Linked DNA regions of Canis lupus familiaris. The protein of the gene in region 1 purifies or fractionates together with the protein of each later gene. This does not show direct contact. Links are inferred from orthologs where the notes say so. Each region holds a gene or a part of one and is shown in the gene's direction. Other genes may lie near its edges. The genes, in order: EYA2 and ACAD9.

Region 1 (16,279 bases):
ACAAGATTTCTGGGGCCACACTCCCCCATTCTCTGGGGGTCCTCTAAGGCATGGGATGGATTTCTCCCTGCAGGGGCTCTGGGACTGCCCTCGGCACACTGCAGTTTGTTCAGCTGTCCATTCTTCAGATGCCCCTGGGTCACAAAACAAAAACAAACAAGAGGCTGTTTGGGAGAAAGAATACCTAGAGAAGAGACTGTGGCCTATTTGTTTTCAAACCTGCCCTAAGTTGTCATTCAGAAGGTTGACACAAAAGAAAAGAGAAATCAGAACAGAAAACACTGCAGGCAGGAGTCTTCCTAGGGCAGGTGTGTTCCTAAGCTTTAGCGGGTAGAGTCACCATGGTAACCATGACCCAAAAAAATTATTTGCAATGGAGAGGCTAGCCTGGACCTTCTGTGGACCTGTCTGGACAGGCCATTGAGGACAGAATGGGATCTCAGTGTGCCACATGATTATGGACAAATTCCATGGTTTCTGGTCCTTGGACAAGACTCCATGTAAGGGAGAGAACAAGAGAGGACGCCCAGGTGTGGCTATGTTCCTGGTTCTTCTCTTCACCTGGCTGGCTCTAACTCATTCTTCAGAGATTACTTTAGGTTTCACTTCTTCCAGGAAGCCTTCCTTGGCCCCACCTCTCCCCAGCGGGCATTACAGAACCCTTCCCAGTGCCCAGCACATATCCTTCTTACCCCTGGATATGGGTATAGTTTATTCTGTAGATTTGACTCTGGAGCCATTTAAATAGTTTATATAATTATAAAACACATTTGAAAAAATTCCTAAAATTTGATAGCAAACTTTTATAAACCTAACAGCATATTGAGTTGATTGGCATTACTATACAGAGAGACTTTATTTACCCATATTTTTACTTTTTTCTTTTTTTTTCTTCTTTTCTGATGTTCCGGGAGTCTTCTTTAAACTCTGTTTCAAGAACTTCCTGTCCCCATCTTTTCAGAGTTTGCTGTGACAGATTTTCTTAGTTTTCCTTCATTTGAGAGTGTCTTCATTTTCCCTTCATTCCTGAAGGATATTTTCTCTGGATGTAGGATTCTGGGTTGAAAAATGTCGTGCCTCTTCCTTGTGGCCAACAGAAATCAACAAGCTTATTCTAAAGTTGAAATGTAAATACCAAGTTTATACATAGAAGCCAAAACAATCTTGAAAAAGAAGAACAAAATTGGAGAACTCATGCTACCTGATTTCAGAACTTACAATAAAGCTGCAGTAATCAGGTCAGGATGGAAATGGTATATAGATATATTCCAGATATATCAGTGGAACAGAGTCCAGAAAGAAGATTTCACATTAATCATCAATTAATTTCTGGCAAAGGTACCAAGTAATTCAGTGAGGCAAAGGATAAACTTTCTATAGTGGTGCTGGAACAACTAGATATTCATATGCAAAAGATTCATCTAGACCCTTACCTCACACCATACACGCAAAATTAACTTACATTTGATCCTAGAGCTAAAACTATGAAATTTCTGGATGAAAACATAGGAAATAATCTGACCTTGGGTGAAGCAGTAAAAGCAAGATCCGTAAGGAGGATTTTGATTTTTTTAAAAAAGGTTCTGCTCTTCAAAAGACACCATTAAGAAAATGAAAAGATAAGCTATAGACTTGGAGGTAATATTTGCATATTGGTATCAGATAAAGGACTTGTGTCCGGAATATATAAGGAACTCTTACAACTAAGTTTTAAGAAGACATACCTAACTTTCTTGTTTAATGGGCTAAAGACTTGAATAGGTCTTTTTCTAAAAAGATACATAAATGGCTGATAAGCACATGAAAAGATTCCCAACATGATTAGTCATTGGACAAATGCCTAAAACCACAAGGAAATAGTACTACTCTACACCTACTAGAGTGGCTATGATCAAAAAGACTGAAATTACCAAGTGCTAAAGAAATCAGAAGTCTCACACTGTTAGTAGGTATGTGAAATGACACAGCCACTTTGGAAGACCCTTTGACCATCTCTTTAAAAAGTAAAACATACTCAAAAACAAAAACAAAAAAAGTAAAACATACTCTTGTCACACTATTCCACAGTCCTACGCCTTGGGATCTGCCCGTGGGGAATGAAAACATATATCCACACAAGGACTCGTATGCAAATGTTTACTGCATACAACTATATGCAACTCTTTATCTGGAATAGTCCCAACTGGATGTGGTGCATTCACACCGCTCAGAAACGTCTAGAAAAGGCAAAACTCTAGAATCAGCAGTAGATCTGTGGCTACCTGATGCTGGAGATGGGGGTTGATGGCAGAGGGGCGTAAGGGAATTTTGGGGATGATGGAAATGTTCTAAAACTGCATTGTGGTAACAGGTGCACAGTTGTATCAATTACTTTAAAACTCATCCAGCTGCCCCAGAGAGGAATTTTATAGTATATAAGCTATATCCCCCCAGAAAAGCAGTTTGAAAAAGCATCAGCAATAGCAGCATAGAGGGGTATGGAAAACTCAAGTCAGACTGTCTAGGGCCAGCCCCAACAGCTGTCACCCACTCTCTGTGCTGCCTTGGGCACGTCACTTAAATTTTCTGTGCCTCACTTTGTCCAGGAAAAGCTCAGAATAGCACCCGACACACGCAAGTTCACCATTGTCATTCCTGTAGCCACCCTCTTCCCCTTCTGGGCTCCTGCCTCACTGGACTTTCCTCTCTTTCTCTTACCTGCCAAGCGAATCTCTGTGTTAGGATTTGTTGCACCCAGTGTTCGTGAACACTCGTCCCCCAGGCTGTGTCCAACGCTGGCATGTCTTGGCTCCAGTGTCCTCTCAGAGAGGCCTTGCCTGACCACCTTGTCGTATTTTTTTTTAAGATTTTATTTATTTATTTATTCATTCATGAGAGATCCAGAGAGAGGCAGAGACACAGGCAGAGAGAAGCAGGCTCCATGCAGGGAGCCCAATGTGGGACTCGATCCGGGGACTCTAGGATCACGCCCTGGGCCAAAGGCAGGCACTCAACTGCTGAGCCACCCAGGTGTCCCGACCACCTTGTTTTAAATGACACCCCATTCACCACTTACTTATTCATTCACTAAATAGCGTTTTCTAGTAGTAATAGAAGTATCATTTTTATTGCCATTTTATAGATGGGGCAACTGATGTTCAGGAGCAAAAGTCCTTTTGTGCATTTATTCAGCTTACTACCATTTGGTTTATTTATTTACCACCATGCACCCCTTAGAATAGCTACGTTCAAAAAAAGAAAGGAAGAGAGAGAGAAAGAAAAAGGAGAAAAGGAAGAGAGAGAAAGAGGAAGGAAAGAAGGAAGGAAGGAAGAGTGAGTGAGTGGGTTGATGAGCATGTGGAGAATTTGGAACCCTGTGCTGTGTTCAAGGGAATGTAAAATGATGGAACCACTATGGACGACAGTATGGTAGTTCCTCAAAAAATTAAAAAGCAAATTTTCCTATGATCTAGTAATTCTGCTTCTGGGTGTAAACCTAAAAAAAATTGAAATCAGGATCTGAAAGAGGCATTGTGGAGTTTTGGGGATTTTTATAATTGTTCTTTTTTAATCTGCATTCAATTAATTAACATATTATGGATTATTGGTTTCAGAGGTAGAGGCCTGTGATTCATCAGTCTTATCTAACACCCAGTGCTCATTACATTCCATGCCCTCCTTAATGTCCATCACCCAGTTACCCCATCCCCCCCTCCTCCCCTCCAGGAACCCTCAGTGTGTTTTCTATGGTAAAGAGTCCCTTATGGTCTGTCTCCCTCTCTGATTTCGTCTTCTTCTATTTTCCCTCTCTTCCCCTACTATCCTCTGTTTTGTTTCTTAAATTCCACATATGAGTGAAATCATATGATAATTATCTTTCTCTGATTGACTTATTTCACTTAGTTCCATCGATGTCATTACAAATGGCAAGATTTCATTTTTTGATGGCTGAGTAATATATATATATATATCGCTGCCATAAACATTGGGGTGCAGGTGCTCCTTGGGATCACTACATTTGTATTTTTGGGGTAAATACCCAGTAGCACACTTACTGGGTCATAGGGTAGCTCTATTATCAACTTTTTGAAGCACCTTCATACTGTTTTCCAGAGTGGCTGCACCAGCTTGCATTCCTAGTAACAGTGTTCGAGGCTTCTCCCAAAAGAGGCATTTGTACCCACATGTTCATAGCATTATTCACGGCAGCCAAAAAATGGAAGCAATCCAAGTGCCCACCAACAGAAGAATTATAAACAAAATATGGTATACAGTACAATGGAATGTCACTCAGCTTTAAAAAGGAAGGAAATTCCGGCACGTGCCACAACATGGACGAACCTTGGAGACATGATGCTAAATAAAATAAGCTAGTCCCAAAAGTCAGATGCTACATGATTCCAGTTATTCAAGGATCCTAGAGTAGTAGGATCATAAAGACAGGAGAAGGGTGGGTGCTGGGGGTGGAGGAAGGGGAGGAATGGGGAGGTATCATTTAATGGGGACACGACCTTAGTTTTTCAAGATGAAAAAAACTCTGGGCATGGACGGCGGTGAAGGTTGCAGAACAATGTGAATATACCAAATGCCACTATACTGTACACTTAGAAATAGTTAAAATGGTAAAGTTTTATGTCATGTACATTTACCACAATGTTTTAAATAAATATTTTTTAAACATGATCATTGAGAACCAGAACCTGTATTGTATGCACTGTCTCATTTATTGCTCAGCACAATCCTTTGATGAAGGAGTTACTTATTTCATTCATCAATTGACAGAACTGAGGCTCAGAGAGATTTGGCAGCTTGCCAGGGTCTCAGGTTGCCTCCTGTTCCAGCCTGTCAGTCCTCAGAGCCCACCTGTCTGCCGAATCTTTCTCCTCCTCATCCCTCTCCGACTGTAAGAAACCTCATCTGTACCTGTCCCTCCTTCCTGCAGGCACAGCAGGGATCTACCAAGGAGCAAATGGCCTGACCAACGCAGCCGGATTCGGAAGTGTGCACCAGGTAGGTGTCACTCCCCCATCACCTGTTTTCCCTGTTCTTTCCCTAAATCAGGACACCCTGAGAGCCCACTCCCGCCCACACCCCCCGCAGAAATGCTGTCTCTTATTCCCTGGGTTTAGAGACCATAGGAGTCCGACTGTGCAAAAGGCCATCAGAAAGAAACAGTGTAGAGGCAGAGAAATTGAAATTACTGGCGGGTTTCCAAGGTGACATAGGCGATATCACAGATTATGTCTTGACCTGAGCCCAAGACACCCATTGACTGTTGAATCTAGAATGTATGAATGCAAATGCGTGTGCTCGCTCACCAGCCGTGACCTTCTCAAGCATGAGAATCCATCATCTTCACCTCTGCATTCCAGTGCCGAGGGCCCAGCACACAGCGGGGGCTTTATAAATGCTTGTTAAATGACACCAGGTCAACCCTGTAAAGATGGTTTGATTGTCTTGCTTTCACTTAGAGAGCAAATTAAGAATGAGAGCATGGGAACTCTGTCCTATTTGTGCACCTCTTCTATGAAGTCTAAAATTATTTCAGAACAAAAGGTGAACATGCTTTCAGGCTAACATTAAAACAAAACTACCACAGAGTGGGTGGCGTATTTAACACATTTAAATATGAGGAATTCACTGTTTCTTCTTCAGTGAGCTAAAGAATCTAAGTGATTTAAATCTTGGAAGATTGTTTCTGTATTTCCGTATAATTTCCAGTATACTGTGGACCTGGATAAAATACTCGTAAATACAGCAGTTCCTTTTAAGGTGTGGTTCCTCGCTCTGCCCATTTCACCAATAGGAGCTTGTCAAAAGCAGAGATTTCCCTAAATGCCACCCCCAGAAATTATAGTTCTCTAGGGCCGGGGCAGTGACCAGGAAGCTGAAATTCTGTGAGTCCTTGCAGGGTTGAGAAGCACTGGTTTATGATGATGGTGGGACAGAGTATTTGGAACAATGACTATCATGGGACAGCTGGAGTATGTGGCTGGTTTAAGCAAAGCTTGATTAAAAAAAAAAAAAGGGATTGGCATTCCTTGATTTGATCTCTGAGATTTCCCCATAGAAGATTCTGGATCTCTAGTGCTGTGTAGGTGCTGCTGTACTTGTACCCCTCATGAACTTAATATGTCACCTAGTCTCCTGGGTCTGTGCGTATGAGGTCTCTATCACTCATTCATTGGTTCGTTGATTTATCTAGTATTTATTTTTTATAAGATTTTATTTATTTATTCATAAGAGACACAGAGAGAGGCAAAGAAACAGGCAGAGGAAGAGGCAGGCTCCTTGCAGGGAGACTGATGCAGGACTCGATCCCAGGACCCCACAATCATGACCTGAGCCAAAGGCAGACGCTCAACCACTGAGCCACCCAGGTGCCCCTCTCTAGTATTTGTTGGGTTCCCCTCTGTGTCCAGCACGATTTCAGATGCTAGGGATACAATAGCGATCAAAACAGACATTGACAGCCACATCCCCTGACTTCCAGATTGCAACCTCTGTATCCCCGGGCTGAGGGTTTTCCCTAGAATCAGAGCATAGGGCAGGAGGCAAGTGCCAGGGAATGAAGAGCCCAGGGAGCAGCTCTCAATCAAAGACTGGCTGGAGTTGGTATATGAACAACCCCAGCTCCCTTGCCACTAGGAGACATCATTCTGAGGGTATGTTTTATACCATCCCAGTGTTTCCCCGGGGAATTCCCTCCAGTCCCCACTTAGAAGCCCTCAGATTGGCTGCTCTTGCTTCTTCCCTTTGCAGTCTCACTTCCCCATCCCCCACCTGGTGTCTCCTTCACCTCCCGAATACTTGCACTTGCATCCTTGTCTTGGGATCTGCATGTGGGGAGAGTCCCTATCCCTGATGGAGCTTTATTCTAGTGAGAGAGATGGAGATAGACAGCAGACCCACCTCACAAGACCCTCTGCCATCGTCAGCCTATGACTGGGCTGCAGGACAGCCCCCACCCAGACAGCCTTCCTCACTCAGCGCCTTGTGTGTCTCCCTTTCTAGGACTATACTTCCTACCCCGGCTTCCCTCAGAGCCAGTATTCCCAGTATTACAGCTCATCCTACAGCCCTCCTTACGTCCCAGCCAGCAGCATCTGCCCGTCTCCCCTCTCCACATCCACCTACGTCCTCCAGGAGGCATCTCACAGTGTCCCCAACCAGAGTTCTGAGTTGCTTGGCGGTAAGTATGGTCACTGTCTCGTGGTTATTGGTGGCTGAGACCTGAGCTCTTGTAGGAAGGATGGACTGGACAGAGGTCCCAGTTGTAATGAACTGGTTACCCAAGAGCTAAATCCAGCCCTCAAATATGTTTTGTTGGCCTTTCCGTGTATGTGTGTGCGCCTTTAATTGTGCCCATGTTTAAAATGTTTTTTAAAGATTTTATTTATTTAGGAGATCCCTGGGTGGCTCAGCAGTTTAGTGCCTGCCTTCAGCCCAGGGCATGATCCTGGAGTTCCAGGATCGAGTCCCGCATCAGGCTCCCTGCATGGAGCCTGCTTCTCCCTCTGCCTGTGTCTCTGCCTCTCTCTCTCTCTCTCTCTGTGTGTGTGTCTCTCATGAATAAATAAATAAAGTCTTTAAAAAATATATTTTATTTATTTATCCAAGAGAGACACAGAGAGAAAAGCAGAGACATAGGCAGAGGGAGAAGAAGAATCAGAAGACTGATATGGGACTCAGTCCCAGGACCCTGGGATCACGACCTAAGCCAAAGGCAGACTCCCAACCACTGAGCCACCCAGGTGCCCCCATGTTTAAAATTTTTACCTAAAAATTCTAATTTCAAAAAAAAATTCTAATTTCTGCGTTCTCTTGAAAATAGATCTGGTCTTCTCTTGAAAGAAAATCTGAACCTGGTCACTTAGGTCTACATTCATAAGTGACAACCCTTGGCTGGCTGAGTAATATGTGCCCCATTCAGACAAGGCACACACGATTCCATATCTGGCCAACATACTTCAGGTTCATTACCTGCCTGGCGCTTGTGTGCCCTGGGATTGATGAGCCCCAGTCCTCAAAGAAGGGAAACTAATATTTGCTACCCATCTGCGATGTGCCAAGCACTTATCTATGTGGTCTTCTCATTTCACTTATTTATATATTGATTCAACAAAAATTTTAAAGCACCTGCTGTTTTCCAAGCAGGAAATAAAGTGCAACATAGACTTGATTCTTACAGACAGGAATCAAATAATCACATAAATACAGAATTTCAAACTATGATAAGGAAAGTCACAATCCTCACAAAATCTGGTTTTCAGTTACCCCCTTTTTTCCAGGTAAGAACAATGAAGATCGGAGGATAAGTAACTTGGTAGTAATTGGTGGAATTGGGATTTGAACCCAGGCCTCTTGGGCTCCATAACCAGGGCTCCTGGATATTCAGTAGCCACAAATAGCTGAGATTATTTATCTAAAACCCATTTGAGAACAGAAGGTCAGTGGCCATCAAACCTTGGTTCTCTCATCAAGAATTGAATCTTTTTAAAAAATCCTCACACATGTATTTTTCCATAGCAGAACAGCTTTAGGAATTCCTTTTATTGGCCAGGATTTTTTGGCTTCGAAAGATAGAAGATACAATTCAAACTAGTTAAGCAAAAAAAAAATGTTTTTTTTTTTTTAGATTTATTTATTTTAGAGAGAAAGAGCATGCACATGAGTGGGAGGAAGGGTAGAGGGAGAGAAAATCTCAAGCAGTCTTCCTGCTGAGTGGAGCCCAACACAGAGTTTGATCTCACCACCTTGAGATCATGACCTGAGCTGAGACCAAGAGTCAGACACTCAACCAATTGAGCCATCCAGAACCCTCCCCAAAAAAGGAAATTTTAAACATATGCAATCAAGATATATAGTAATTCAAGGCTGGGTCCAGGGGTTCAGATGATAATTTTTGGACTTAGTCTCTTTCTTCCTCTGGCTCTGCATTTTCCTGTGTCCATTTCACTCTCAAGCAGGCTCTCCCATTATGGTGGCAAAGATGGTCACCAGCCACTTCAGGATTCAGTTCTGCCTTCCTATCTACCCCTCAGAGAGAGTTCCTCCTTCCAAACAGCCCCTGCAGAGGTCCCAGGTAACACTTCTGTTGGCCCAGCTTAGGTCACATACCTGTCCTCACACCAGTCTCTGTGGCAGTGGTTGGAATGCTGAGATGGGGCAACAGACCTGGGTCTTATGACCACAGCGAGAGCTAGAGTTGGGTCATCTCCACCCAGACCATATGAGGGAGAGGGAGAGGTGGTTTCCAAAAAAAAAAACCCAGAGCACACTACCCAGGGGAAGACAGAAGAGATGATGGGCCAAAGTACAGGTATCCACAACCAATGGCACCCACCTAAATTAAAGAGTAACATGTGGTGGGGTGCCTGGGTGGCTCAGTTGGTTGACCATCTGCCTTCAGCTCACGTCATCATCCCAGGGTCCTGGGTTGAAAGCCTCAAGTCAGGCTCCCTGCTCAGTGGGGAGTCTGCTTCTCTATCTCTTTTTGACCTGCTCCGTTTTTGTTCTCTCTCTCTCTCTCTCTCTCTCAAGTAAATAAATAAAATCTTAAAAAAAAAAGAGTAACATGTGGGGGAGCCCACGTCCTGGCCCCTGGGTGATGTACATCCCTATGCAACTAACTCACCAGCCTATGAATTCATTCATTCCTTCCAAAGATCTGCTATGCACATGGCTTCTCTTTTATGACATGGTTTAGATATATTATCATTAATTGACATGACAGCAATGATTTAGAATGCCCAATGTAAAGGAGATACCATTGCATTTTTTTCTCTTTTCTTTTCAGTGGGTTCTGAAAAACTGGGGCTTGTAGAAGTTAAGCTAACATGAGAGTGTATGGACATTGATTCAATAAATACTGGCTAATGGTTAGAAAAAGAACAGTAGCGGAAACTAACTTCTTTTGTTCCTGAGGTTCTTGGTACAGCTGTTGCTTTTAGCCTTTAAATTTTCCATCACTGGGACAAGTTAATTATCCTTGGTTTGGTGACAAACGGAGACAACATGGCCAGGCATTTTTAAGTCCATGGTGGGCTTGTTTGTTTGTTTGTTTGTTTGTTTAAGAAAGCTCCGTGTCGAGAGCGGAGCCCAGTGCAGGGCTTGAATTCATGACCCTGATATCAAGACTTGAGCTGAGATCAGGAGTCAGATGCTTAACATACTGAGCCACCCAGTTGTCCTTTTTAAGTCAATTTTTAAGGAAGTTTAGGGCTTGAGCATTGATTTTGGTCATTGTGATTTCATTGCAATACTCAATGAATGCGTAGTATCTAGGTAACAACTTCCAAATTGCTTTCTTTGAAGGGTGTGAAATTTAACAAACTTTTCTTTGTCATAATTCTAAATTATCTTTGACCATCCTGCTTTTCAGAGTGTGGCTGCTCCACTTGGTTGCAGAAAGGAGATATAAGCAGGAAATCCTGAAGTAGTTGCCACTGTCTATGTATAATTTGGAACTGGATTCCAAAGACTTACTTCCTAAGAATTTGGGGTATTTAGGAAGGTTATCTTTGTTCCCCATCAAGAGCAAACATAAAGGTTCATTGTATCTCTTTGAAACGTTTCTTTATTGTTTCCCCCTGTTCTTCATTTATCGCTTGGTCTAAGGTTCAACAATAAGTGGTTGAGATGGTTTTTACTGTGTGTCTAACAAGCTCACATAAAATCTAATGACATAAATAGTTGTCAGCTGTAACTGAGGTCTCTTGACTCTTTTCCCCGGTGTCTGTTATAAAGGAAGGGCATGTAAGCATGCATGTGTGCACATGTGCGCAAGCGCACGCACACACACACACACTCTCTCTCTCTCTCTCTCAAAATTTCCCATAAAAACTCTACTTTTGAAATTATCCAGGATCTCCTTGAGTGGTTGGTTCCAAATTCCAGAGCCTCAAGAGGTTTATATATTACCGATAGATCATGCTCATACTCTGCATTGCCTGGTTACAGTATCCTGATGCTCTTCACCCCAGCCCTCTGCCCAGTCTGCATTGATATGCATTAACATACAAAGTTCCAGCAATTTACAGATGATTGCAGGGCAATTTGCTGAAGTAGAGGACAAAATCTGAACATACTTCACTCAAGAGAAAAAAACAAATTAGTAGTGGTTCCTTAAGGGCTTTTTTCTTTTCAGACTTTTCAGTATGATGCAGATTATCTAAAAAGATAATTGGACAGACATTAGAGCTCCTGATTCTCAGGCCTTTGGATTCCAGGACTTGTACCAGTGGGGCCCGAACCCTCCAGACTTCCCCTACCCCAAGTTCTCAGGCCTTCAGCCTCAGACTGAATTATATCACCAGATTTCCTGGTTTTCCAGCTTGCAAAAAGCAGATTGTGGGACTTCCTGACCTCTAACTGCATGAGCCAATTCCTATAATAAACCTCCTCTTATATATATATTTACATGCATCCTGTTGGTTCTGTTTCTTGGGAGAACCCTGACTAATACCCCATGAGTCAAAGAAAAAAAAACAAGAAAATTTTAAAGTATTTTGAACTTAATGAAAATGAAACATAACATGTCAAAATTCGTAGAACATCACTAAAGCAGTACATAAGAGGAAATTTATAGCACAAGTGTCTATGTTAGAAAAGAGGAGAAATTTCAAGCCAAACACCTCCTATTCTGCTTTAGAAACTAGAAAAAGAGGAGCAAAATACACTCAAAGTAAGAAGAAGAAAGGGAACAATAAAGACCAAAATGCAAATCAATGAAATCTGAAAACAGAAAAAAAGAGAGAAAATCAGTGAAACCAAAAGCTGATTCTTTGAGAAGATAAATAAAACTGATAAAACTCTAGATAGGCTGATACAGGAAAAAGAGAAAAGATGTAAATTACCAATAGAATGAAAGTGATGACATCACTACAGATACTACAGATATTAAAGAGATAATGATGCAATTTTACAAACATCATGCCAACCTAAATAGATCTATAGCTTTAATAGGCCTATATCTATTAAATAAATTGAATTTTTTGTCAGAAATCTTCCTTCAAAGAAATCACCAGGCCCTGATGGCCTCGCTGATTAAGACTACCAAACATTTAAGTTAAGAACTATCAATCCTACACAAAATTTTGAAGAAAATTGAAGAGGAAAGAATACTTCCCAACTCATTCTATGAAGCCAGCATGACCCTGATGCCAAAACTAGACAAAGGCATTATAAGAAAAGGAAACCAGGGGCACCTGAGTGGCTCCGTCAGTTAAGTGTCTGCCTTTGGGGACACCTGGGTGGCTCAGTAGTTGAACATCTGCCTTCAGCTCAGGTCATGATCCCAGGGCTCAGGAATCGAGTCCTGCATCAGGCTACCTACAGAGAGCCTGCTTCTGCCTCTGCCTATGTCTCTGCCTCTCTCTCTGTGTTTCATGAATAAATAAAATCTTTTTTTAAAAAAAGGTGTATGCCTTTGGCTCAGATCATGATCACAGGATCCTGGGATGAGCCCTACATCAGGCTCCCTGCTCAGTGGGGAGTCTGCTTCTCCCTCACCTCTGTCCCTACCCCCACTCATGCTAGTCCCCTCTCTCTCAACTAACTAAATAAAAATATTTTTTAAAAAAAGAAAAGAAAACTATAGACCAATATCCCTCATCAACATAGATAAAACACTTCTAAACAAAATGTTAACAAATCAAGTCCAACAATATATGAAAGAAGAATAATATATAATGACCAAGTGTGATTTATCCCCAGGAAGCAAAGGTGGTTTAAAATTTGAAAATCAATGTTATTTGCCATATTAACTAACTGGAAAGGGAAGGAAAAGTTCATCTAAATAGATGCATAGAAAATATTTGACAAGATTTATCATCTGTCCCTGATAAAAATTCCAAATTAGGAATAGAAGGGAACTTTCTTTATTAGAAAAAGACATGTTATAGACTGAATGTTTGTGTCCTCCTCCAGATTCACATGTTGAAGTCCTAATCCCCAATGTGTTGGTATTTGGAGGTGGAGTCTTTGGGAAGTAATTAGGTAATGACGGTGGAGCCCTCATAAATGGGGTTAGTGCAATTATAAGAAGAGACATATCAGAGTTAATATATCTCTCTCTCTACTGTGTCTGCATATAGCAAGAAGGCATCCATCTGAAAACCAGGAGGAAGACTCTGACTAGCAATAAAATTGGCCAATGCCTTGATCTTGGACTTCCCAGACTCCAGAAATGTGGAAAATAAATCTTTGTTATTTAAGCCACCCAGTCTGTGACATTTTTGTCATAGCAGCCCAAGCTGACTAAAATAGGATAGCTTCAAAAAACCTACAGCTACTCCCCAAGATCAGAAGCAAGACAAAGATGTATACTCTTACCAATTCTATTCACCATTGTATTGGAGATTCTAGCCAGTACAGTAAGGCAAGAAAAATAATTTAAAGCCTCCACATGGGAAAAGAAGTAAAATGACATGATCACCTATGTAGAAAATTAGATAGAATTTATTAAAATGCTGAAACTAAAAAGTGAGCTTAGCAATGTTGCAGAGTACTAAGTGAATGTATAAAAATCAATTGTATTTTAATATAGTAACAATAAGCAATAGGAAATAGGATAGTTTTTTAAAAAAAAGATTTATTTGAGAGGGAGAGAGTACAGTCAGAAAAGGCAGAGGGAAAGAAAAATTTAAGCAAACTCTGTGCTAAGCACAGACCCAGAGGTGGGGCTTGATTTCAAGACCCCAAGATCACAACCTGAGCTGAAACCAAGATTCAGGTGCTTAAATGACCACACCATCCAGGCACCCAGAAATGGGATAGTTTTAAATCTCATTTACGGTACCATCAAAAAATATTAAATGCTTTGGGATAAATCTGACAAAACATGTGCAAGAGTTGTACACTTAAAACTATGAAACACTACCGAAAGAAGTGAAGACTTAATTTTTTTAAGATTTGATTTATTTTTTCATAAGAGACACAGAGAGAGAGGCAGAGACACAGGCAGAGGGAGAGGCAGGCTCCCTGTGGGGAGCCTGATGCAGGACTCAATCCCAGGACCCCAGGATCATGCCCTGAGCCAAAGGCAGATGCTCAACCACTGAGCCACCCTAGGTGAAGACTTTAGTGAATGGAAAGATATACCTTACTCACAGCTCAGAAGACTTAATATTACTGAGATGTCAGCTCTTCACAAATTGATCTATGTATTTAACACAATCTCTGTCAATATCTGACTCTTCTCTGTAGAGATTAGCAAGCTAATTCTGAACTTCAAAGAATACAAAGGATCTAGAATAGCCTCAATGGCTCTGATACAGAAAAACAAAGTTGCAAAGCTAACACTACCTGATTTTAACACTTATTACAGGGGCACCTGGGTGGGTCAGTTGATTAAGTGTCTGACTTCTGCTCAGGTCATGATCCCTGGATCCTGGGATCAAGTTGGGCTCCCTGCTGAGAAGGGTGCCTGCTTCTCCCTCTGTCTCTGCGCCCCCTCACCCCCCGCTTGTGCTTTCTCTTTTATTCTCTCTCTCTTTCTCTCTCTCTCAAATAAATAAGTAAAATCTTAAAAAAAAATACTATAGGGCCACAGTAATCATGATAATATGGTATCACATAAAGATAGACAAGTAGATCAATGTACCAGAATAGAGCATGCAGAAATAAACACACATAGATATGGACAAATGATTTTTTTTATAAAGTTTCAAGACAATTCAGTGGAGAAAGGATAGTCTTCTCAACAAAAGATTCTTGACGACTGGATATCTATATTTGGAAAAACTGTACTTCAGCCCATAACTCACATGACATAAAAAAATTAACAAAGAATAGATCATAGACCTAAACATAAAATCATAAAACGTGTATAGAAAACAGGAGAAAATCTTTGTGACTTTGGGCTAGGCAAAGAATTCTCATATATGACACCAAAAACATGACCCAAAAAGAAAATAAATTCTATAAATTGGCTTCATAAAAATTTACAACTTTCACTCTTTGAAGGATACTGTGAGGAGAATGGGAAGAGAAGTCTGGGGGGCAAATAATTACAAAGCATGTATCTGATAAAGTATGTTGTATTAGAGTGCTCCAAAGAAACCAGAGATAGAGAGATAGAGATTTATTACAAAAAAATAGCTCAAATCAGCAAGTCCCGTGACCTGCCTCCTGCAAGCCAGAGAGCCAGGAAAGCTAGTAGAGCAATTCAGTCTGCGTCAGAAGGCCTAGGAACCAAGAACTCCAATGTCTAAGGCAGGAAAAGATGGACATCTCAGCTCAAGAAGAAAGGTAACTTGCACTTCCTCTGCCTTTTTGTTCTATTTGGGCCCTCAGTGAAATCGGTGATGCTCTCCTGCACATTAGTGAGGGCAGATCTCTACTGAGTCTATTGATTCAAATGCCAATCTCTTCTGGAGACACCCTCATAGACACACCCAAAAATAATGTTTTACCAGCCCATCAGCTTGACACACAAGATTCACCATCACATATTATGTAATATAGGAGGAATTCTCAAAACCCAAGACTAAGGAAACAAACAACTCAGTAATGAAATGGGCAAAATTTGAGCAGATACAAAAAAAGATACAAGGATGGCAAAAAAAAAAAAAAAGTACATAATTAAGATGCTGATCATTTGTCATTAGAGAAGTACAAATTAAATCCATAATGTGTACCCCTTAGAATGGCTGTAATCGTGAAAACTGACCATATCAAAGGTAGGCAAGGATGTCGAGCAACTAGAACTCTCTTACCCCACTGGTGGGAATGTGAAATGGCACAACCACTTTTGAAAACAACTTAGCAGTTTCTTAAAAAGTCAAACATAGACTCACCACACGACCTCATAATTACACTGGTAAAAAGAAAGCTTATAGTCATACCAAGATTGATGTGTGAACATTCATGGCAGCTTTATTCCATCCCAAAACTAGAATCAACCCGAATGTCCATCCACAAGTGAACAGACAGGGCGTGGTAAATCCACACAATAGAATAGTACTCAACAACACAAAGGAATGAACTGTCCATATACGTAACCACATGGATTGAATCTCAAAACAGTTATTCTGGTTGAAAGAAGCCAGACCAAAAAAAAAGCATATATACTGTGTGATTCCATTTCTTTAATACTCTAGAAAAAGCAAATTAATTTTTCTTGAGAGAAAGTGTATTAGTGGTCACCTGGGAAGCAGAGTGGTAGGCAAGGATCACAAAGGGATTACAAGGAAACTCTTGGAAGGTTGTGTAAAAGTGTAAGGAGAGAGAGAAAAAAAGAATGAAATGATCCCTAAGAAGGTTTACATAAATTGCTTTAGCCTGTGTACCTCTGACT
Region 2 (15,333 bases), on another chromosome or scaffold:
TGGAAGTACTCCATCTCTTTCTATCTTTCCAAACAGCTTTAGGAGAATAGGTATGGTTTCTTCTTTAAACGTTTGATAAAATTCCCCTGGGAAGCCATCTGGCCCTGGACTCTTGTGTCTTGGGAGGTTTTTGATGACTGCTTCAATTTCCTCCCTGGTTATTGGCCTGTTAAGGTTTTCTATTTCTTCCTGTTCCAGTTTTGGTAGTTTGTGGCTTTCCAGGAATGCGTCCATTTCTTCTAGATTGCCTAATTTATTGGCATATAGCTGTTCATAATATGTTTTTAAAATCGTTTGTATTTCCTTGGTGTTGGTAGTGATCTCTCCTTTCTCATTCATGATTTTATTAATTTGAGTCTTCTCTCTCTTCTTTTTAATAAGGCTGGCTAATGGTTTATCTATCTTATTAATTCTTTCAAAGAACCAACTCCTGGTTCTGTTGATCTGTTCCACAGTTCTTCTGGTCTCGATTTCATTGAGTTCTGCTCGAATCTTTATTAACTCCCTTCTTCTCTTGGGTGTAGGATCTATTTGCTGTTTTTTCTCTAGCTCCTTTATGTGTAAGGTTAGCTTTTGTATTTGAGTTCTTTCCAGTTTTTGAATGGATGCTTGTATTGCGATGTATTTCCCCCTTAGGACTGCTTTTGCTGCATCCCAAAGATTTTGAACGGTTGTATCTTCATTCTCATTAGTTTCCATGAATCTTTTTAATTCTTCCTTAATTTCCTGGTTGACCCTTTCATCTTTTAGCAGGATGGTCCTTAACCTCCACGTGTTTGAGGTCCTTCCAAACTTCTTGTTGTGATTTAGTTCTAATTTCAAGGCATTATGGTCTGAGAATATGCAGGGGACGATGCCAATCTTTTGGTATCGGTTCAGACCCAATTTGTGACCCAATATGTGGTCTATTCTGGAGAAAGTTCCATGTGCGCTTGAGAAGAATGTGTATTCAGTTGAGTTTGGACGTAAAGTTCTGTAGATATTTGTGAAATCCATCTGGTCCAGTGTATCATTTAAAGCTCTCGTTTCTTTGGAGATGTTGTGCTTAGAAGACCTATCGAGTATAGAAAGAGCTAGATTGAAGTCACCAACTATAAGTGTATTATTATCTAAGTATTTCTTCACTTTGGTTAATAATTGATTTATATATTTGGCAGCTCCCACATTCGGGGCATATATATTGAGGATTGTTAAGTCCTCTTGTTGAAAAGATCCTTTAAGTATGATATAGTGTCCCTCTTCATCTCTCACTACAGTCTTCGGGGTAAATTTTAGTTTATCTGATATAAGGATGGCTACCCCTGCTTTCTTTTGAGGACCATTCGAATGGTAAATGGTTCTCCAACCTTTTATTTTCAGGCTGTAGGTGTCCTTCTATCTAAAATGAGTCTCTTGTAGACAGCAAATAGATGGGTCCTGCTTTTTTATCCAGTCTGAAACCCTGCGCCTTTTGATGGGGTCATTAAGCCCGTTCACATTCAGAGTTACTATTGAGAGATATGAGTTTAGTGTCATCATGATATCTATTCAGTCCTTGTTTTTGTGGAATGTTCCACTGAACTTCTTCTTAAAGGGGAATTTTAAGAGTTCCCCTTAAAATTTCTTGCAGAGCTGTTTGGAGGTCACATATTCTTTCAGTTCCTGCCTGTCTTGGAAGCTCTTTATCTCTCCTTCCATTTTGAATGAGAGCCTTGCTGGATAAAGTATTCTTGGTTGCATGTTCTTCTCATTTAGGACCCTGAATATATCCTGCCAGCCCTTTCTGGCCTGCCAGGTCTCTGTGGAGAGGTCTGCTGTTACCCTATTACTCCTCCCCATAAAAGTCAGGGATTTCTTGTCTCTTGCTGCTTTAAGGATCTTCTCTTTATCTTTGGAATTTGCAAGCTTCACTATTAAATGTCGAGGTGTTGAACGGTTTTTATTGATTTTAGGGGGGGATCTCTCTATTTCCTGGATCTGAATGCCTGTTTCCCTTCCCAGATTAGGAAAGTTTTCAGCTAGAATTTGTTCAAATACATATTCTGGCCCTCTGGCCCTTTTGGCGCCCTCGGGAACACCAATTAAACGTAAGTTTTTCTTCCTCAGGCTGTCGTTTATTTCCCTTAATCTATCTTCATGGTCTTTTAATTGTTTGTCTCTTTTTTCCTCAGTTTCCCTCTTTGCTATCAACTTGTCTTCTATGTCACTCACTCGTTCTTCCACCTCGTTAACCCTGGTCGTTAGGACTTCTAGTTTGGATTGCATCTCATTCAATTGATTTTTAATTTCTGCCTGATGAGATCTAAATTCTGCAGTCATGAAGTCTCTTGAGTCCTTTATGCTTTTTTCTAGAGCCACCAGTAGCTGTATAATAGTGCTTCTGAATTGGCTTTCTGACAGTGAATTGTAATCCAGATTTTGTAACTCTGTGGGAGAGAGGACTGTTTCTGATTCTTTCTTTTGAGGTGAGGTTTTCCTTCTAGTCATTTTGCTCAGTGCAGAGTGGCCAAAAGCAAGTTTTATTGGGAAAAGGAGAAAAAGAGAGGACAGAAAGAAGGAAAGAAAAGAGAAAGAGAAAAAAAAGGAAGAAAAAAACGAAAAAAAAAGAAGAAAAAGAGAAAGAAAAAGAAAGAAAGGAGAAAAAAGGGGGGTGGGGGAAGGAAAGAAATCAAAAAGCAAAACAAAACAAAACAAAAAAAGAACCACGGGGGAGTATCTTCTGATTCTGTGTACTTTAAGTCCCTTGGCTTCTCCTGGAAGTTGTCTGTCTAGCTGGTCTTCTGGGGGAGGGGCCTGTTGTGCTGATTTTCAGGTGTTAGCAGTTGGGGGAGCTGCTGTGCCCCTGCCTGGTGCAGGGCTCAGTGGGGGGTTGTTTACCCCGTGAGGCCCCAGGAGCAACAGCCCTAGTGGCGGGGCCAGCTCTGCAGCCTTGGATTCAGCTCCGGCAAGAACTCCAGAGCTCTCCGTCTGCAGGGCCTGGAGGCTCCGGGGCGGGGCCGCTGCTCTGCTCAGCTCGGGCCAGGAGCGTCCTTGCGGTCCTGGGCCCTCCCGGCCTCTGCCTGTCCCGGGGGAGGCCGGATCCTGGGCTGTGTCCCGGCGCCCTGTGCTCCAGGGCCTGCGCTGTTGGATTCGCGCTCCCGGGCCGCACAGCCCCCTCTGCGGAGCTGCCGCCCGAGCCCCCCCAGCTGCTCCTGGAACCGCGCAGCCCCCTCCGCACGGAGCCTCTTCCTCTGCCCGAGCCCCTCCGAGCTGCTCCTGGGGCCGCGCAGCCCCCTCCGCGGAGCCGCCGCCCGAGCCCCTCCGCGCTGCTCCGGGTCCCGCCGGGTCCCACCATGCGCGCTGCAGCCCTTAGGGAGCTCGGCGCACTCTCCTGGGTGCGCAGTTGCTCTGTTACTGTCCCAGGGAAGCCGAGGGCATCCTCGCCCTTCTGGGTCCTGCTCCAACTCCCCGCGATACCCTTTCCGCCCGGGAAGGTCGGTGTAGCTCCTGCTTCTCCGGGACGGGGCTCTCCTGTCCTGGGGACACTCGCCCCGGTCTCAGCCCGGCTCCTCGCGGGGCCTCTCCCCCTTGGAGGCCTTTGTTTCTTTATTTCTTTTTTCCCGTCTTCCTACCTTGATAGAAGCGCAAACTCTTCTCACTCTAGCATTCCAGGTGTTCTCTCTTTAATTCTTAGGCCAAATTCATAGATTTTCAGGATAATTTGAAGGTTTTCTAGGTAATTTGGTGGAGACAGGTGATTTGGAGACCCTGCTCTTCCGCCATCTTGCCCCTCCCTCCAGCTTTCCACTTTTATGTGTCACCTGCAGGCACATGTTGGGCCAAGCAGCTCACTTACATGTGGAGAAGCAAGCTGCAGGTGAACGGGGCTAGGTGGACAGGGTCAGGCCTCCTGGAGAGGGAATCTGAAGTGGGTTTCAAAAGGACAGGAGTTTCCTCAGTGTAGAAGGTGTGGAGTGGGATCTTGCATCCCAGGGAAGCCTCAGAGATAGGAGGAGTCACGGTGGGTGGGGAGCCACAGCTGGTCAGTTAGGTCCAGAGAGAAAAGGACTTGTCCGAGGCCACCCAGTGAGACTGGCTGGGCTGGTCTTATCCTAGAGCCAGGTTCTCCATGTCAAGCTGCCTGTTCCATCCCCAGCCACTCTGCCCTGGCTGAGGCCCCCTCCCCCTCGTGGAAGGGACTTGGCCCTGTCACCCCTGTGCTTACCGTGTCCTGGCTCCATGGCAGGTGTTCAGCTCGGAGGGTGCCTGGCAGTGCGTGAGTGAGGCACTGCAGGTCCTCGGGGGCTCAGGCTACATGAGGGATTACCCATATGAGCGCTTGCTACGTGACAGCCGCATCCTGCTCATCTTCGAGGTGAGTGCCCGCCGCCCTGCCAACCCCCACACCCCCCCCCCCAAGTAGTCTCATTTGTCCCTCCTCATGCCTCTGCGTGGCCCCATTCTCCAGGGGTGGAGGTGAGGCTGAGGGGCCAAGCGAGCGCCCTTTTTGCTGAGCCTGTCCCTTCAGTTGTCTGTGGTGGGACAAACAGAGATCTCACGGGAGGCCCAGTTGTGCCTCCAGGGCTCACTCTGGGTTTGCCTTTCCTCCCCAGAGTACAGGCACCTCAGCAGGGTCCTCTCCATGGACTTTCCCAGCCCTGACACCTCCCTAATTGCTGCCCCCTCCATGGGCTCACAAGCCAAAAGAGGGAATTCTGTGAGTGGGGAGACCCCAGGTGGGATAACAAAGGGGGATGAGGAGCTCGTGGCCTGACTGACCAGGGTAGACTACGGAACACCAGTGCAGGGAGGGCCTGAGCTGCATCTCTCCCTCAGTGGGCTAGTGTCTCAGGAAGCCAGTGCACTTGGCCTTTGAGGACAGAAATGACTTTGGCCTGGCCAAGGGGAAGGTGGTTTGAGCCAAGGATAGGGAGATGGAACATGCTACCCCCAGATAGGGCATGCACTGAGTAGGATAAGCATATCTTTGTGGGAGCAGTGGATGGTCCTGGTAGGGGCGGAGCTGGGGCAGGTGGTAGAAAAGTTGGTGGGGTGGGGGCAGAGGGTAGATGAGAAGGGGAGCCAAGTAGCTAGGCTCGGGGGGCCCTTGGCCAGTAGGCAGAAGAGTTTGGATCTTACTGTGCAGGCACTGGAGGCCATTAGAGGTTTCTTTTTTTTTTTTTTTCATTAGAGGTTTCTGAGTAGGAAAGGACTTGAATGCATTCCCATTCTGGGAATTTCCCTGGGGCTGACGTGGGAGTTGCAGATGTGAGACCAGAGGCCAGGTGCACACAGTAGGAGAGAGGGCCGTGCAGAGAGAGGGATGGAATTAGGATGGCTGTAGGGTGTGCAGGAGGCAAGCCCAGAGATGAGACTTGGAGCCTGAGCATCCTGTGTGGTTTCTCAAGGGCGCTTTTGGATGCCCGGCTCCCAGGCTCCCCAACCCAGGGAAAGGCCTCATAGCTGCTAGTTCTCGCCATGCCCCCCACATGCCAGCCCTATGGTCTCCTTCCTTGGAGGACAGACAGGATGTGGCCAGCCTGAGGGTCCAGGGGCACTTTCCCAAGGGCTGCCCCCAGGACTGCTGCTTCCAAGGCCCCTTCCCCTTGACCTGGTTGAATTTGCTCCTATGTGACTAGATGGGGCAGCAGCTTTGAGGGCTGCAGAGTCCTCAGAGTGAGGCAGATGGTCCCATCTGGAGACTATGCAGGACTGGGCACACCTTGACTTGCAGTCCTCCCAGGGGTGTCTTCCTGTCCGTGGCCAGGCTGGCTGCAGGGCTCAGTGTCCAGTACTGGCTTTGTGACCCATGGCCCACCTCCCTGAAATAATCCCAAGGAGATTGGGAGGGGAACAGTGTGCACAGCAGCAGGGAAGAGGTGGCCCTCTGGGTACTGATACCCCGTACTGGGGGCAGCCAGCTCTCGTCCTTAGAGATCAGTGGCTCCCCTGAGGAACCTGGGAGCACTTGCTGCGTCCTGGGCATCGGCATCCCTCCCCTCAGGGAAAGGAGTTTCTCCCATTAATTATAAAGAAACCAAATTGGAGGCTTGGAAAAAGTGACTCCGTTATGTTTGGTCCTAGAAAGGTGGTAGATCCTGAGGGAGTCCCCGGTTGTCTGGTCGGCAACCTGCTCATCCCTGTGAAGGTGGGGCTAGCGTGTTGCCCTCACCCTCAGGTCACAGCCCTGCTCCCTTGCGAGGCTACTTCCAAAGCGGCAGCCTCCGTGGCACTGGCAAGCGGGCAGTGGGGTGGCCTACCCAGTTACACGCACAGCACAAACCAGCGCCATCCTAGTGGAGCCAACTTTAACCTCCATACTCCTGGCCACAGGGAACCAACGAGATTCTCCGGATGTACATTGCCCTGACAGGTCTGCAGCATGCTGGCCGCATCCTGACCACAAGGATCAAGTAGGTGCCAGCCCCACTGTCTGCTCCTCGGGCCCCATCCTGGGATAGACATCAGAATGGGGGTCATGGAGCCGTGCAGTGCTCAGCTCAGTCATAGGCTGGCTAGAGGGAAAGAAGGGGACAGGAGCCCTGAAAGCCAGACTGCAGAGCTTGGCCTTCACCTACAAGTGATAGGAGGTGCCAGCTGCCTCAGGAAGCCCTCATTGCCCTCCTCCCCTGGCAGTTTCTATCTCCCATGCTGCAGGGAGCTTTGTTTTCAGAGCCTAGGGATTGAGAGCTATCCCTCAGACAGGCACTGGGCTCCCAGACTAACATGAGACCACTTTCTTCACTCTTTCTCTTGCTCCTCTTAACCCCCATCATGGGGCTAGAACAACTAGAAATCACTGCTGGAGTCTGGTGTGAGTTGCTGAGAGCATCTTGCAGACTCCTTTACCCCAGAGCACCACCTGGGGGCTAGTTGTGACTGCTTCTTGTAGAGAGGCTCTGTGTGCTCTGCCTCAGAGACTGGCTGGGAGGTCTCAGGCATCCAGCAGGCCCAGGCTAGGGTAGAGCAGCATGTAGGGCCTGAGTTGTCCCTTTATTGTCTTGGATCACCAGAGGGAACCAGGTACCTGTAGCTCTGGGGTGCCAAGGGGGACCCTATTGCTCAACAGTGGGAACCAGCAGTGAGGCCTGAGTTCACGGGGCTGTGGGCTTTCTGCAGTGAGCTTAAACGGGGCAATGTGACCACTGTCATCGAGACTGTCAGCCAGAGGCTTCGAGACTCCCTGAGCCGAACCGTGGACCTGGGGTTGACAGGGAAGCTGGGAGCTGTGCACCCCAGTGTCGCAGTGAGTGGGCACACCTGGCATACCCCCCATGTGGGTGCCCTCCTGGTGGGTATCCTCGTCCAGAGGGCTGTGACCAGGGCATCTGGGAGGATGGCCCAGCCTGGTGGGCAGAGCCTGGGCCCCAGAGCCCTGGGCTGGGTGAGATGGGTACCGTGGGGAGTGGCACCAAGCAGTCTCTCCTCTGGCATACTAGGACAGCGCCAACAAGCTCGAGGAGAATGTGTATTACTTTGGCCGCACCGTGGAGACGTTGCTTCTCCGCTTTGGCAAGGTACCTGGGCCCCTGCCAGATCTGGGGATGGCAGGCCCTCCAGCTTGGGAGCCAGGGAGAATGGGGCATTTTATCTTTGGGACCAAGCCTAGAAAGAAAGCTTGGTCACCATGGATGGGTGGGGCTCTCTGTCCCAGGGGGCACTTGGGTAGATGTCCTTGGAGTAGGGAGGGGAGCCCAAATCTAGGGCCCTGATCTGTGAGGCTGCTGCTGCTCAGGCTGACATGAAGCACAGTAACCAGCAGCATGTGGTCTCAGCCAGGTTTCTGGGACCTGGTCTTGGCCTGATCCATGCCCAAATCTAGATAGAAGGGAAAACAAGGCGGCCAGTGAGCCAGCCTCCCACAACCCAAAGGGAGAGGCAGTGTTAACCCCCTTCTACTGAGGCATGAAGTGAGTCTTGGAGATGGCTGAAGATGGGCCCGGGGAGGGAGGTTCCTGGGTTGCATGTCTCCACCCTGGGCTCTGTGTTGGCAGACCATCGTGGAGGAGCAGATGGTCCTGAAGCGGGTAGCCAACATCCTTATCAACCTGTATGGCATGACAGCCGTGCTGTCGCGGGCCAGCCGTTCCATCCGAGTGGGGCTTCGAAACCACGACCATGAGGTAATAAGCCCTTGCCAGCTTTATCCTCTGCACTTTAATGAGGCCTGTGGTTGGGGAAGGGGGTCAGTGGATGGCAACGCTCAGTCAGGAGCAAGGGACTGGGCAAGTCAGGGCTTTGGTCCAGTGGTGGTCCCAGGAGGCTGGCAAGTTTGCTGAGCTGTGGCCAGTACCGGTGGTCAGCTCCAATGCGAAGATCTGTGCTGCTCAGGACATGGGGCCACTCCCTTTTGTTTTTCTATCTGAGGAAAAAAGAGTAAGTGATGGGGTCCCAAACCTTGTGCCTTCACCGCATCTGCCTTCCTTACCCTGCCTGAGGGGCCAGATGCAGTCACTAAGCACCTGCTGTGTGCTGGGTCTTTATTGTCCCTCAGTAGCCTCTGGGCACTAGCATTATGATGGCCTTCCTGCCATAGAGGAGACTGAGGCCCAGAGGTGTTGAGTAATTTGCTCTTGGGGACAGAGCTATTTGGGTCAGAGCTGGAATTAGAACCTAAGACTGACCCCCAAGCCAGGCCTTTTGACCCGAGCCAAGCTGCTTAGTTTGGCTGAGTTCTTGAAACACACACACCAGGGAAGGGATGCCCTATGTCATCCTCTTCAATCTTGGTTCTGACAGGTTCTGCTGGCCAACATCTTCTGTGCAGAAGCTTATTACCAGAATCTCTTCACCCTGTCCCAGCTGGACAAATGTAAGTAGGGTGGCCTTGGGAGGGAAGGTGGGCCTGAGTCCAGGTGACTGTTGATGGCCAGGCTCCCAGGGTCTGCTGGCTACTCACAAACCTCTCCCTTGAGTGAGGGCTGCTAAGGTCAGGTTCACCTGCAGCAGGGCCTGCCAGCTAGGAGCATATACCTGCAGGTGAAGACTGTCAGAGCCTCCCAGGGTGTGGCCCAGCATGCCTGGCCACCTAGCAGCCACCCAGTGATGTTCCACAAAGAAGGGAAGCATTTTATCTGCCTCTTTACCCCCTGCACTCCAGCTAAAATAAACCTGCCCTTCTAGCAGGTGTCTCAGGCTTTGGCCCTACCCTGTGCAGGGGCTTGGCACATAGGGCTGTTTGTCTAGAATGCTCCTCTACCGTAGCCACATGGCTATGTCTGAGAGGACCTGGCTCAGATTCCTCTGACCCTTACAGTCATTTCAGCCTCAAGGCTCCATGTTCTGTGTCCCCTGCTGTAGAGCCCAGCCCTGTTGCCAAGAGATGGAGGAGAGGCCATCATGGCACCTGCTGAGAAGAGGAGTACATGATTGTGTGCAGCTTCTGGCTCTGGGTGCTGGCATCTGTGTTCCATTCTGTGGTGGGAGACATGGTTTCTCTTGTAAAGGCTTGACTGGCAGAGGATCCTTCTCCAGCCCCTGTTCCCACAAGATCCAGAGTTCTGAGGGATCAACAAGATGAGCCCTTTGTTTTTCAGGATGAAGCCCCATCCCTCTTTTTCCCTACAGCCAGAATCACACTTCCTGAGGGTTTGGAGGAGGAAAGTTAGCTTCAGGGCTCCTTCACAGTGGGTGGGCTACTTTGTTTATTTAAAAAAAAAAAAAAAAAAAAGCCACACCCCAGCAGTATTTCTTTTCTCACAAACCTATTAATATTTTTTGCTTTCAGATTCTCCAGAAAATCTAGATGAGCAGATTAAGAAAGTGTCCCAGCAGGTCCTAGAAAAGCAAGCCTACATCTGTGCCCACCCTCTGGACAGGACGTCCTGAAGCAAATGGACAGTGTTCCCTACTGCCCCGAGGCCACAACCCATCGCTGGTCAGCTCTTTCTCCGGGAGGTGGAGCACTTGGAATTTTTACAAGTGGAAATGTTTTTTCCCAGTATAGACCAGAAGGACTTTCTCCTGGCCTGGGGGCGGAGCTTCTTTAGGCTTTGCCCTGCTGGCACTGCCACTTGACCTGATCCCAGGTGCTGAAGAGACAGGAGAGAGAATGCAGTTGGTGACACCTGGGAGCTGAGGGGCTTCTGCTAGTTTAGGAGACATACAGTGGCAACGGGCTTGTGCTGCTGCCTTTGCGTCAGGAGGTTGGTGGGGACCTGTTGCAGGCATGGATAGCTACTTCTGCAAGACCAGCTGTGTTCATAGAACAAATGCACTTAACCTGTGTACTGGGAACCATCTGACAACAAATATAAAATGCTTTACCCTTTTAGCCCTCACGCTGTATACTGAGCATGTTTTTCCTCAGAGCCGAGTTTCCCCCTTTGGTGATGGTGAGGGGTGGGTGCCCAGCCCAGACCACAGTACCCTAGGGATTTTTAAGGCCCTGTCTCTGGTCTTTTTTATGGTCTGATACATGATAACACATGTTTTTTCCTGCCTGGGGCCTTTCTCTCTGCTGTCTGTAGAGAGGTTGGCCTCTACTCCTGAAGAGGGGGGCAAAAAGGAATCTTAAGGCATGACTAGACCTTTGCATTAGTCTAGGCTCCTTTCTGCTGCTGTTTCCCCACACTGGGTCACAGCATGCTCACACTGGCAAGCTTTGAGGTTTCTTCTGGTTCTAGGTGGTTTGGGGCTCCAGAAAACCACACTACAGATGTCACCCTGAGGTGGGAAGAGAAGACAAGGCTCCTCTTTCCTTTCTTTTTTTTTTTTTTTTTTTTTTTTAAGATTTATTTATTCATGAGAGACACAGAGAGAGAGGCAGAGACATAGACAGAGGGAGAAGCAGGCTCCATGCAGGGAGCCTGATGCGGGACTCGATCCTGGATCCCAGGATCACGACCTGGGCCGAAGGCAGGTGCCCAACTGCTGAGCCACCCAGGCGTCCCTCCTTTCTTTTCAAGTACAAGTCAGTCTGCTATGCAAACACTGGGCTGGCCTGAGCCCTCTGCCAGGGATTGGATAACTAATCTTCAAAAGGTAAAACTTGACAAATCTTACGGCACTGGAGCTAAGTTACCAGTGAAACCTTAAAGGTCTTCGGGTGTTTTGTTGGCAAGGGGAGTACTAATCTGGTTCAATGCCAGCGACCAGAGGCTGCACAGAAGGTCTTTGCCAGGGAAGCTTGGGAAGCAGCTGTCCAGACCCCGTGCCCCCGGGACCTCCATTCAGGAAAGGGGGCTTCACTGTAGTCCCTGCAGTATGGACGCCCCTGTCGGCGGCTGGTTCTGTCTTCACTCGGCTGAGTTTCAAAGGCTGGGACCCCTGGTTCAAATCTCCCTTTCCCCCCTACCATTTCCAAGTTTTCTTTAAACATGGTGGGGAGGAGAGGCCTCAGTGTGCATCTGTGCCCAGGGAATGTGTGCTGGGAAGGCCTGCAGTGGAGTTCAGTGGCAGCAGTCGGGCCAAGGAGGTAAGCCTGGCATTGCTGGTCTGGTCTGTACCAACAGGACTGACCACGCAGCCCCAGAGCCTGGAGCTTGTTCTGAAGGGAAGGCAGCAGGGGCCAGACAGAAGGGAGACAAATTTCAGCAGCTTGTTGGCACTTCCTCTTGTTTCATGGAGCAGTTACCAGCTGCCTTCGAGGGTTAGAGAAGGAAAGAAATCCATTTTGTTTATCTGGTCTAGCTTTCTGAGAAAGGTTTCTCTGGCAAACCTTGTCACTAGGTAAACTTTCTCCCTGAACCAAGGTTCTGGCAACCAACAGATTTTGGTTCTCTGAGAACGTACAAATGATCTGGAGGCCCATCTTTATAAACAGAAGGATGAGAGGGACTCATGCTTCTAAACTCCCTCCTTCCCACACACAGTGGGAGATGGCAACATCTTGGAGCAGGAATGGAGTCAGAAGGTCCCAGAGGTGGCCAGAGCCTCTGCCCCCAGCTGCTGGCCGGGCATCTAGACCTGGGTAATGCGTGTTGGGGTGCAGACAGCCCTTAGACCTGTCTCCCAACTTACAAGTTTGATAGCTAAGAAACCGGGCCTAGCGGGGCCACCTAAGTGGCTCAATTGGTTAAGCAGCCAGCTCTTGATTTTTGGCTTAGGTCAGGATCTCAGGGTCTTAGGATCAAGCCCTGCAGGTTATGCTCCTCACTCAGCAAGGAGTCTACTTGAGGATTCTCTTCCTCTCCCACTGCCCATCTCCAAACTCGTGCATACTATAAGATAAGCTGGTACGGAGCAGGGACCAGGAACAGTGAAGGGACTTGTCCAACATCACCCACAGCGAATTAGTATCACAGCTGGAGCTAGAATCCAGGGCTCTTGAGTTCCAGCCTAGCACATTAATGCCAGACCCATTCTGACTCTGGACTTCCTAGCTTAGAAAGTTAGGACAGCTAAAACAAAAAGGGTACTGCCAAAGATGCAAAGCAGCAGAGGTCCTGACTGCCCACATCAGGAGGCTGAGCCTTGCAGAGGTCTTACCTGTTACAGGCTTAGGTGCTGGAGGACGGGGCAGCTCAAGGAAAAGTGGTGGCTGCTTATACAGGTCAAAGTCCTGGTGGCGCTGGTCCCAGCTCCACCTCTCTCGATCCAGCACACTAGCAGGCTGTGCATTTTCCCTCCGCTCCTACGTCGAGAACAACACAGTAAGTTAGGATGGAGGGCCCTGTAGACACCCCACTGGAGGCCCCTCTCCACCCTGTGGACCTCATTCAGCTCTGGATCAGTGCCAATGGGCGGCAGCCTGAGGTGATGGTCGCATTCAGTGGTTCTGTGAAGACCAGTCAGTTGGAATCCATTGGCTGTGAGCCAGGCCTGGCGGGATTTCTTCCTGGCTTTCTTCTCCTCTTCCTCTGAGTCCTGAGGCTCCACCATGGCTGAGAGGTAATTCTGGGAGTATGTGAATCTCTTCCTTGGCTCCTGGAAACAAGGGGCAGACACGAGGATAGAAGGGCTGGTAGCAGATGTGGAAGGGGCTGACTAGCCCTCCCATCTCCAGGCAAGCATTAGAAATGGTGGCACCGTTCCTGACAATGTAAAGGACCATTCAGAATAACAACTGTGAGGGTCACGTTCACATTCTCTTTGACAGAGCAACCCTTTTCTAAAGCTACCATGTTGGAAGCCTAAGCCAGGGCTTTTCCTTCATGGTGACAACAGAATGCTTTCTAAGGGGGTTTGCAGCCAGGCACACATGAGCATATGTTGAGGATCTGTTGGCTCACCCTTATGTGTGGAGGATCCCTACATAGTGCGGGAACAGAACATGTCTCCCCCAGCACCTGATGCCTGTCTATTTCCTCCCATTGGTTGGCTTTCTTATGCACACCAGAGATCCCTTGCTGATCTCTAGGCAGTATAGTCAAAAAAGGAGAGAGCTCACTGGATTAGCCAATTACTATTTTTCTGTCTGGAGTTACAAGCATTGACGGCCCGCCTCCCTCTCTGGGCCTCCCATTCACCTTGGCCATCTCTCGATACAGCTCCTTCTTAGCAAGCTCTGTGGAATTCAGGGACTGGATACTGTAGTTATAAACCGCATCTTTGGTAGGGGCTGAAATTCTGATCACCTTCACCACAGATTTTGGAGGCTTCTTACTAACCTGGTAGGCTCTAGTAATATTTTTCTGTGGAAAGAGACACCAATCATTATAGTCCCCTCAATACCAGCTTCCAGCGTGTAGTGAGCAAGATGATCTGTGGGACCAGGCCACAGCGCACATACCAAGTCCTGAATACTAGAGCTGCCATTCAATCACAGAACGCTACCAGAGGGCCACCTGCTCTAACCCCTCGCTGTCCATGGTGGAACTCAGGACCATGATGCGATTTGCCTAAGGTTAAAGTAACTGGAACACAAGAGCCAGCCACAGATAGAATTTGAGGCTCAGGTGGTCAGAAGTGGGAGAAGCTTGAAGCTTTCATGCATATACAGGGTAGATTATGACCTAAAGCAGCAAGGACTACCATCCTTGCCCATGGTCACCTTTAAGTGCTGACTACATAGGGAGTGTCAACCTTCTCTCCAGAGCCCCCAAGATGGTCTGACAGCTAGCTTCTTTGTGGATGAAAGCTGCGGTGTTGCAGGGAGAAGTGGCTGGGACCCCGAAAAGAAAGTTGCACTCTATTGCGGTGTAGCTTGCCCACCACTTGTCTATTAACTTTCAGCAAAATCACCATCTTCTGTTTTGAAACAAAAAGTTTTATTTTTTTTAAAGATTTTATTTATTTATACATGAGAGACACAGAGAGGCAGAGACACAAGCAGAGGGAGAACAGGCTCCATGCAGGGAGCCCAACGTGGGACTCGATCCCAGGTCCCCAGGATCACGCCCTGGCCACCTGGGCTGCCCAAAACAAAAATTTTTAAAGCTGAAGATAGTGACCTTGACTCACATTAACCACTTATTTAGGCCAAGCCCCAGTGTCTTGGCTTTGGAGTCTGAGGGATTTCTGTAAGAGAGAATGCAAAATAATCAAGGGAAAGTTAAATCTGTGATTCACACAAAAGTGTGAAAAATCAAGGCAACAAGATCCCCATGGCTTGAAGCAACAGGGACTTAAGACAAAGGCTGGTCACATTCATTGCATGAGGGACAAAACACCTGTCTTTGAGCACCTTCAAGATGACTGTGCCAGAGGGGCCATCTAAGCGCGACTGACGTCCAAGTGGTGCACACCTAGCTTCAATCAGAGCACTGGGTATTCTCTCCAGTTTTTCTGGTGGTTCTCAGTGGGAGGGTTGGTCGGAATGAGTCAGTCTCCTTCACAAAAGTGCAAGTTCCCTGCTCCTTCTAAACCTTACTAGTGGATTACAGCCTTGGGAAAAAAGTGGAAGTTCTGCCCAAAAGACATCACATGGTGAGGTGAGAACAGTGGTCAACAGTTGTTCAGGACATCTGGGGTTCTCTGCCCTGGGGCTGAAGGCTGCAGGGAACTCTGGACTGACAGCCAAAGTAACTAGGTGCCTGAGACATAGAACCAGTTACAAAAGACCCCAGACACAAACAGAACTGAAGCCAAGCTATTGGAAGGGATGGGGTAGAAATTTAAGGCAAATGTAATCATTCTTAAAAGACTAAAGAAACAAATATTGAGTGTAAAACATTAGAGTTTTACATAATAAAACAAATATTTACATAATACTTATTTACATAAATAAAGGGCGCAAGTGAGCGAGACACCCTGCGGAAGTGGAGCAGATGGAGAACAAATCAGTAAACTGGAAACCAGCTTGAGATAAAATTAGCCTGAGTTTAAAGACTGGGAACCAAAATGAAAATATCCAAATAACAAGCCCCAAAAGGACAGGGAAAGCAGGAGTAGGACATTTTAAGTAGAATTCCAAGCCCGGGCACACTATCTGCGACATGTAAGACCACAAAGGCAGAGACAAATCCTGAAAACCTCCAGAAAAAGAGCAGCCCC

Evidence for each region.
Region 2: the proteins of EYA2 (region 1) and ACAD9 purify together in Homo sapiens (affinity purification with mass spectrometry; 3 studies listed by BioGRID and IntAct, with this or other methods). This does not show direct contact. The link is inferred for Canis lupus familiaris from reciprocal best matches to the Homo sapiens genes EYA2 and ACAD9.

The regions. Positions count from the first base shown.
Region 1 is NC_049245.1:34,825,264-34,841,542, forward strand, and holds part of EYA2 (eyes absent homolog 2), read left to right. Parts: intron 1-4,921; coding exon 4,922-4,989; intron 4,990-6,993; coding exon 6,994-7,171; intron 7,172-16,279. UniProt on the Homo sapiens protein: Functions both as protein phosphatase and as transcriptional coactivator for SIX1, and probably also for SIX2, SIX4 and SIX5.
Region 2 is NC_049241.1:3,178,346-3,193,678, reverse strand, and holds the end of ACAD9 (complex I assembly factor ACAD9, mitochondrial), read left to right. Parts: intron 1-4,204; coding exon 4,205-4,333; intron 4,334-6,291; coding exon 6,292-6,371; intron 6,372-7,077; coding exon 7,078-7,204; intron 7,205-7,397; coding exon 7,398-7,475; intron 7,476-7,952; coding exon 7,953-8,081; intron 8,082-8,095; exon of another isoform or gene 8,096-8,257; coding exon of another isoform or gene 8,258-8,320; intron 8,321-8,338; exon of another isoform or gene 8,339-8,697; coding exon 8,698-8,770; exon of another isoform or gene 8,771-9,225; coding exon of another isoform or gene 9,226-9,458; intron 9,459-9,685; coding exon 9,686-9,786; 3' UTR 9,787-10,238; downstream 10,239-15,333. Other genes in the region: CFAP92 (uncharacterized protein KIAA1257 homolog), read right to left, coding at 9,226-9,458, 12,388-12,532, 12,613-12,825, 13,368-13,532. UniProt on the Homo sapiens protein: As part of the MCIA complex, primarily participates in the assembly of the mitochondrial complex I and therefore plays a role in oxidative phosphorylation.